Linked DNA regions of Oryzias latipes. The protein of the gene in region 1 interacts with the protein of each later gene in a pairwise test. Links are inferred from orthologs where the notes say so. Each region holds a gene or a part of one and is shown on either strand. Other genes may lie near its edges.

Region 1 (3,811 bases):
TCTTCATCAATGATGCCGGCTTTGTGAAACCTCAAAGAACAGTGCAAGCAGACATGTTAGCCCAAGAATCTACAATCCATTCACAAACTGTGGCGTAACTCGCCCGGCGCTGCCTCCCAGTCTCAGTAAAACTGTGTCCACCATTGGACAGTGTGACTCACCGGGAAGTCAAAAGTGAGCGGCACCTCGTCCATGTGGCTGGATGTGTTTGTCGGTGATCTTTTCGCTGCAATAGGAGCAGAAGATGAACAGCTTTTCATTGTTATTCACTACTGCCCCACTGTAGTCGTTGCCCTGATGGAAAGATGACGGCGTTTCATAAAACGAAAGCACCACGATGGGCCTCCATGAAAATGTTCAATTTTCATCTCTGCCTTCAGTGGAATGGTGACTGTAGAGACACTTAGTCCATCGCTCCAGTCACTCTTCCAACTTGGGCCGCCACGCCTTGTTTCCACGGAAACTCAGCTGTGTCATCTTGATTGTTGGAGTTTGTTTTCCAGCTTCCTCCACTTGTGAACCATGGATTCATTCATCTTAAATTCTCTGCAGCTGCTCGATTCCCATGTTCCTCTGTGTAGCTGATAGCTTGCAGTTTAACTGTGCTTCATTATTGTGTCTCTGTGCAGCATATTCAGGCTTTCCAAACAATGTTGTTCTGCTTAGTGCACATACCTGCACTTTAGTACTATTTGGGGGGTGTCTTCTTTCACGTCCTCACTTCTTTCCTCACCGTTGTCATGCTGTCCTCTCCTACGTCCTCTTTACCAAAGTCACACAACAACACATGAGACGCACCGCACCATAGGGCGCTCCGTACATTTTGGAGAAAATATAAGACTTTTAAGTGTGCCTTATGGTCATGATGATACGGTGTGGTTTTTTCTAGTCTGTCAGCATCATGGCCTGAAGTCGCCTCAGTTCCAAAATGTCGGTCTTTCCAGCACAGTGGAACAGTCCGTGTGATGACCGAAACCTGTCTGTTTTCCAGCTGGAAGAACACCGGAACACCCAAAAACAGATGCGAGTCCTGCAGAAGAAGCAGAGCCAGCTGGTCCAGGACAAGGACAACCTGAGGAACGAGCACAGCAAGGCCATCCTGGCCCGCAGCAAGCTGGAGAGCCTGTGCCGGGAGCTGCAGAGACACAACCGCACCCTGAAGGTGAGGAGCCCACAGCGCTGTGATGCTGCTGAGCAGCCAGCTGGAACAGTGACTGTCTCTGCAGGAAGAGGGCATACAGAGAACCCGGCTGGAGGAGGAGAAGAGGAAGGAGGTGACGTCTCATTTCCAGGTGACGCTGAACGACATCCAGGCTCAGATGGAGCAGCACAACGAGAGAAACGCCAGCCTGCGGCAGGAGAACGCAGAGCTGGCCGAGAAGCTCAAGAAACTCTACGAGCAGTACAAGCTGAGGGAAGAGGTAAGTCCTGGTCCTGCCCCGCGGGGTTCAGTCTGCTGTCAGTCAGGGAGGCTTCATTTCCAACTGTGCCCTCCCCCAACCAGCACATAGACAAAGTGGTGAAGCACAAAGACCTGCAGCAGCAGCTGGTGGACGCAAAGCTGCACCAGGCGCAGGAGCTGCTGAAGGAGTCTGAGGAGCGGCACGAGAGGGAGAAGGACTTCGTAAGGATGTTTTTTACCCAAACACCCCAGAGTGCTGTTCACGGGGTCCTGGGACACAAATGTTATTTGGTTTTTCCCCGGACAGCTGCTGAAGGAAGCCATCGAGTCCCAGAGGATGTGTGAGCTGATGAAACAGCAGGAGGTTCACCTCAAGCAGCAGGTTGTCCTCCTTCTCCCCCCTCAGCTCCGTGTCTTCTCTGCTTTCCCTGAATCTTTTCTTTCTCTTCTCAGCTGTCGCTGTACACGGAGAAGTTTGAGGAGTTTCAGACCACGCTGTCCAAGAGCAATGAAGTCTTCACCACCTTCAAGCAGGAGATGGAGAAGGTGAGGCCCTGGAGGCTCCGCCCACTCTTGAAATGTGGCTCAAGCTGCTCCAGCAACACTTTTCTGTGTTCAGATGACCAAAAAGATCAAGAAGCTGGAGAAGGAGACGGCCATGTACCGCTCCAGATGGGAGAGCAGCAACAAGGCTCTGCTGGAGATGGCTGAGGAGGTGAGCTGCTGTCTGTGCTTCTCCAAAGAAGACGTGCTGTCTGGAAAAGCCCCCAAAACACATGCCGTGTGTGTGTGTGCGTGTGTGTGTGCGTGTGCATGCATGCAGAAGTCGCTGCGGGATCGAGACTTCGAGGCGCTGCAGCTCAAAGTCCAGCGGCTGGAGAAGCTGCGGCGAGCGCTGAAGGTGGAGCGAAACGAGCTAAACAAGAAGGTCCAGGGCCTGTGTGGGGAGCCATCCAGCGCCACGGGGGCTCCAGGCGCCGACCCGGGGACCGACTCCCCGTCCCCACCCCCCACAGACTCTCTGCTGGAGCCCGCCTCCTGCTCCCGCCCCTGCCAGTGTGAGCCGGAGCCCAACGCCCCCCTCCAAGAAGCAAGCGCTGCTGCCCTGGCTCAGGAATGAAGCCTCGGGCTCCTGCAGCAGCAGCAGCCCCCCCCCCCACAGCTGCTGCTCCTCCTTCACACGCCGCTGGAAGAAACGGGACAGACGGAGCAGAACGGCCGGCGGGTCCAACAGGTGTCCGTCTCTGCAGACCGCTTCTCCAAAGCACTTCAAATGTTGCAATAATCCCATTTCCTGCAATAATCTGATTTCCACCTCTTGCTGGTTGTCACTTCTGCCGCGTTCTGATGTTGTAGTCTGCGGCGTGGAAGGGCGGTCCTGCAGCGCGTCAGCCGCAGTGTGGGACGTAGTTTAGCGTCAGACCCAGTCTCAACAGAGACTAACTGGTCTTTAGGCAGCAGTGTTCTGGGTCAGGGGGAGTGATGAAGGCCGTTTCCCACAGACTCATCTCAACCTCTGCTGGGGGCCGCGGGGCTTCACCCCTGCTGGGGGGGCGTTGGGGCTTCACCCCTGCTGGGGGCCGCGGGGCTTCACCCCTGCTGGGGGCCGCGGGGCTTCTGGCTGAAGTCAGACTCTGGGATTGTCTCCTGGTCCGCAGAAGCTCAGATCAGGTTTTAGCAGAAGAATGTTCCGGCACTTCTATGCAACGCTCGCTTCCTGCTGTCGTGTGCGGCGGTCTGAAGCACTTTGACGAGAATGTAATTCTGTTTCCCGGTTGGATCTCTGTTGACTTTAAGGGAATGTTTGGCGTCTGCCATGATTTTAAAAATGTTCACAGCCGAACGGAAAATAGAGAAACTTCAGATTCTTTTGGACTTTTTTCTCCAACCCTTTCTTTTTTCTTTTTAAACTTTTTTCTGCTTCTTTGTTAAAATGATGAATACTAAAATTCAAAAGCTAAAGTTCATTTCCTCTGTTGTGCCCCGGTTTATTGGTCTGAAGGAACCAAAGATCCTCCCCCCGTCTGTTTTTGTCTGCTCCTGGATGTTTCCTGCTGAATAAAACTCTAATGTGTTGAGGAGACTCTTGGGTTCTTTTACTCACTATGTCAAACATTTGATCACCTCTACAAAAAGGATGCAAAACTTAAACGAAATATTGAAAATGAACGAAAAAAATGTATTTTAAAATTGAAGAAACACTGAAAATTAAAATAAAAAAACAGTAAAACTTATCAAATGGAAAAAAGTATTGAACAACTGCTGTTTTGTTTTTTGAACTCTTTGGTCTTTGGTGGAGGGGGTTCTGTGAGCTCATTGGGGGCCGCCCCATTGACTGTAAACGAGAACTGGACTGAGTGACCCCCGCCCCTGGCGTTCCAAACAGGAAGTACCTGCTGGTTCCAGGGA
Region 2 (3,811 bases), on another chromosome or scaffold:
TAAGTGCGTCTTTTAGTACAGAGTATACAAGTGGTGGATGCATCAGAATGGAGCAGAGCAAGGAGCTCGGGGCACACCCAGTGTATTTTCTACCTCACAAATGCGCTCCAAATTTCCAACAATTTGTCTTTAATCTCAAAGAAAAATTGCATTTACCTTCAGATTTTCAGAAGTAATTTTTCCTAAAAAGTCGCATTGTTTTAATAAATGAAGGACCCTGGGAGTATTTCAGGCAGGCAACTCTAGCAGTGGGTTTACCTGGTTACTCCTCCCTGAGGGCGGTTCAGTTTAAATAACTCACCTGTTCAGCGTCCTGTGGTGTGCGCTCCATTCCTTCTCCTCCATTTCCTCGAGCTCTGCGTTTGTCACCCCACTCCACCCTTCCACCTGTGAGCTCCATTAGGGGTAGTTTAATACCCAAAGTTTTCTATGGAGATCTTTGATTTATGTATCTGAACGGAGCCTTATGCCAAACTACGAAATATGGAAATAGATCTTCTTTACTGCATGTTCTCTGACTGAAAAATGACTTACCGGTATGTTTTTCTCTCTTTATATATTTGCTTTTTAATTTCTAATTTTTATGACTAATTAATTTACGTTTCAAAGTTAGTATTAATAAAAAATGTAAATTTCATTTTATTTAATACAAGTGTATTCTATGCTGTTATTTTAAACAGAAAATTATCTATCATCCTTTTTTAGTTGTTGAATTGTCGTTTAAATCCAGCGTTCAAAGATGCAAAAAACAAACAAGCGGTCAAAAGTTTTGATTTGTAGCATCTAAGTGGTAAATCCATGTGTCATGTCAGCTCTTCTTGTCTTCCACCAGCTTCCTTCCTTCCTTTTTTTTGTCTTTCAGAAGAAGGGTGTCAGATAAAGGCGTGAGTCTGAACCGCCCCCTGCTCGGCTCTTTCACTGCCTTGCTTTTAGTCTCTTCATCCTTTTGACTCATCTTCTTTGTGCTCCCTCGTCTTCCCCTGCTTCCCCTTCTATTTCTGCTGCCTTAAGGGTTGTCAGAAAAAAAAGAACTTGGTTCCTGAGGGAACTCATGGCTTCTGAAATTTCCGTTTCTCTTATCGCATTTTGCCAGTGACATGTCCCATCTTTGCTCTACATATAACTAAGAAGGTTTTTGCTTTTTCTTTAAATCCCAGGGTACCAAGTATCTTAAATGCTCACAGGAAAGGACTCCCTTTTTTAGACTTCAACATAATCTTTAAACAGTATACCCCCTTTTGTCTAGTTGTATATGAATGTGTTGAGAGATTTCCTTTTTCTCTTTTTATTTCGGTGTCTGCCAGTTGTCAGAAGCCAGCGACAAGACTTTAGAAAGTGTGAATCGAGAGGCTGATTTCACAGAGCTGAAGAGCAAAGTCCCCTCATCTGTGGAGCTGGTTAAGAAAATGGAGCAGGTATTTTGACATTTTTCTGCCGGGAAGGTTTTACAAAGTTCTGTTGGAACTCTTACAGCTGCTCTGTGCATATGTGTGTGTTTGTGTGTTTGTGCACGCAGCTCGAGGGAAATCTAGCGGAGCGTGAGAGGCAGTTGCTGGAAAAAGAACTCCTGGTGGAGCAGGTGACCCGGCTGACGAAGCCGCTTGGGGAGCAGGCTGAGAACTACCAGCAGGACAGCCTCTCGCTGGCGAAGAGGGTACAGATCCATCTAGGAAGAGAGCAGAGGCTGGGACTCATGCACACACACACACACACAACTGTGTGTTTGTAAGCAGGGGTGTATGTTTGCAGCTGTGTGTCTGCAGGTGTGAAAGTGTGTTTGTGTATTTAGAGGCATGTTTATTTGCAGGTATGTGTGCGCATCTGCAGGTGTGAAGGTGTGTTTACAGCTTTGTGTCTGGAGGTGTGTGTGTGTGTGTGTGTGTGTTTGCAACTGTGTGTTTGCAGGTTTGTTTATTTAGAGGTATTATGTGTGTGTCTGCAGGTATATTTGTGTACATCTCCAAGTGTAAAGGTGTGTGTGTGTGTGTGTGTTTGCAGCTGTGAGTCTGCAGGTGTGTGTATTTAGTGGTATGTGCATTTGCAAGTAGGTGTGCGTCTGCAAGTGTGTGTGCTAGTGCCAAGGTGTGTTCGCAGATGAGTCTGTCTACAGGTGTTTGTGTCTTTGAGGGTTCAGGTTAGGCCTGCACAATATACCGCAAATTTATCGTTATCGCAATATCCAGCTCTGCAATATGCATATCGCAAAAGACGGCGAATATCGCAATAAATCGCAAACCCAAAATGTGTTAAAACAATCTTCTAGCAGCTTGAAGCATTTAACGAATCAAATAAATCCCTTTATGCTTTGACCAATCAGATGGACGCCTTCCCATTGTTGACCAATCAGATGGAGGCCTATTATGTTAACCCTGGTCCTGAAGAGCCTCAACCCTGCCTGTTTTCCAGCTCTCCTTAACCAGCTTGCTGTTGATTGGCTGACTCAAGTGATTTCACATCCTGATTGACTGAACATACCTGATTTTGGTTATCATTATCGAGCAGTCTAGGGAGAATTGGAAAACAGACAGGGTTGAGGCTCTTCAGGACCAGGGTTAGCCACCCTGACGTTTGTCCCCCATGTCGATGAGGGTCATTTGGAGTATAATTTTTAAACTGTTGCAATGAAATGGGAATGATGTTTTTGTTTATTTTTCTATTTGTTTATTTACCGCAGATTTATCGTTATCGCAATATTGATCACTAATATCGCATATCGCAAGTTTTCCTCATATCGTGCAGCCCTAGTTCAGGTGTGTGTGTGTGTGTCTGTCAGGTAGGGGTGTGTTTGTGTCTGCATCTGTGTGTCTGCAGGTGTGTGTTTGTGTGTATGTGTCTGCATCTGTGTGTCTGCAGGTAGGGGTGTGTTTGTGTCTGCAGGTGTGTGTCTGCAGGTGTGTGCGTGTGTTTGTGTCTGCATCTGTGTGTCTGCAGGTGTGTGTGTGTGTTTGTGTCTGCATCTGTGTGTCTGCAGGTGTGTGTGAGTCTGCAAATTTTTATATACATATATAATATGTGTCTACTTTATATTCATTCCTGTTTACTTAAAGGAATGTCATAATGGTAAAATACAAAAGCAAAATATTTGTAAAACATACAAATAAAAAATGTATCCCCCCTCCCCTTTTTTTATTTTAGAGAACTTGTAATATTATGTGAAGTGATAAAAGTGGGGGCATTTAGAGGGCAAATTTTAATAGATCATCTGATAGTTTGAGTTTTCTGTCAAGGTGCAAAAATATTATTACTCAAATATAAGTAAATAATGTAAAATATATAAAGTGGGTGTGAACTTTGATCTAGTAACAAAGGACTTGGTGGGTAATTGCTCCCTTCTGATACCTGCCACTAGTGGTCATTTAAGGAACTGCAACATGTGGTAATTCCATGTTAGCAAAACGTCACAAATAAATAATATTTCATTTCTATCCAAAATCTGAATACGCAGAGTTAGAGATGCTGCCCTTTCTAAAAAGAAATGATCCTGTGTGGTCATGTTCCTTCTTGCACCTCATCTATGGACTGAATGCGTAGACCATGAAAGGCTTTTCTAATCAATACTCGTCTTTTTGTTTCTTGTTTCTAGCTGAATGAAGTCCGGACTCATCTGATCGACACCAACCAGCGCATAATGGCGGTTTCTGCAGAACTGTCCGTCAAGCAGGCTGATGCTTCGTGTGAGCAGCAGCAGATCAAAGAGAAGGAAGTCCAGGTCAGAGATCCACATCACCGTGCCGAACAAAAGTCCTCCTGCTTCCCTCAAACCCTCACCGTCTTCAGCTTCCTTGCTGTCTCCTTTCATTGATCGCTGATT

What was found.
Region 2: the proteins of txlna (region 1) and ccdc146 interact in binary tests that used the Homo sapiens proteins (3 or more experiments, as listed by UniProt). The link is inferred for Oryzias latipes from reciprocal best matches to the Homo sapiens genes TXLNA and CCDC146.

Annotation. Positions count from the first base shown.
Region 1 is NC_019869.2:26,641,491-26,645,301, forward strand, and holds the end of txlna (alpha-taxilin), read left to right. Parts: intron 1-991; coding exon 992-1,162; intron 1,163-1,226; coding exon 1,227-1,421; intron 1,422-1,504; coding exon 1,505-1,624; intron 1,625-1,709; coding exon 1,710-1,784; intron 1,785-1,855; coding exon 1,856-1,948; intron 1,949-2,021; coding exon 2,022-2,117; intron 2,118-2,225; coding exon 2,226-2,522; 3' UTR 2,523-3,485; downstream 3,486-3,811. UniProt on the Homo sapiens protein: May be involved in intracellular vesicle traffic and potentially in calcium-dependent exocytosis in neuroendocrine cells.
Region 2 is NC_019881.2:12,668,213-12,672,023, forward strand, and holds part of ccdc146 (coiled-coil domain-containing protein 146), read left to right. Parts: intron 1-1,304; coding exon 1,305-1,415; intron 1,416-1,516; coding exon 1,517-1,654; intron 1,655-3,583; coding exon 3,584-3,709; intron 3,710-3,811. UniProt on the Homo sapiens protein: Essential for sperm flagellum biogenesis and male fertility.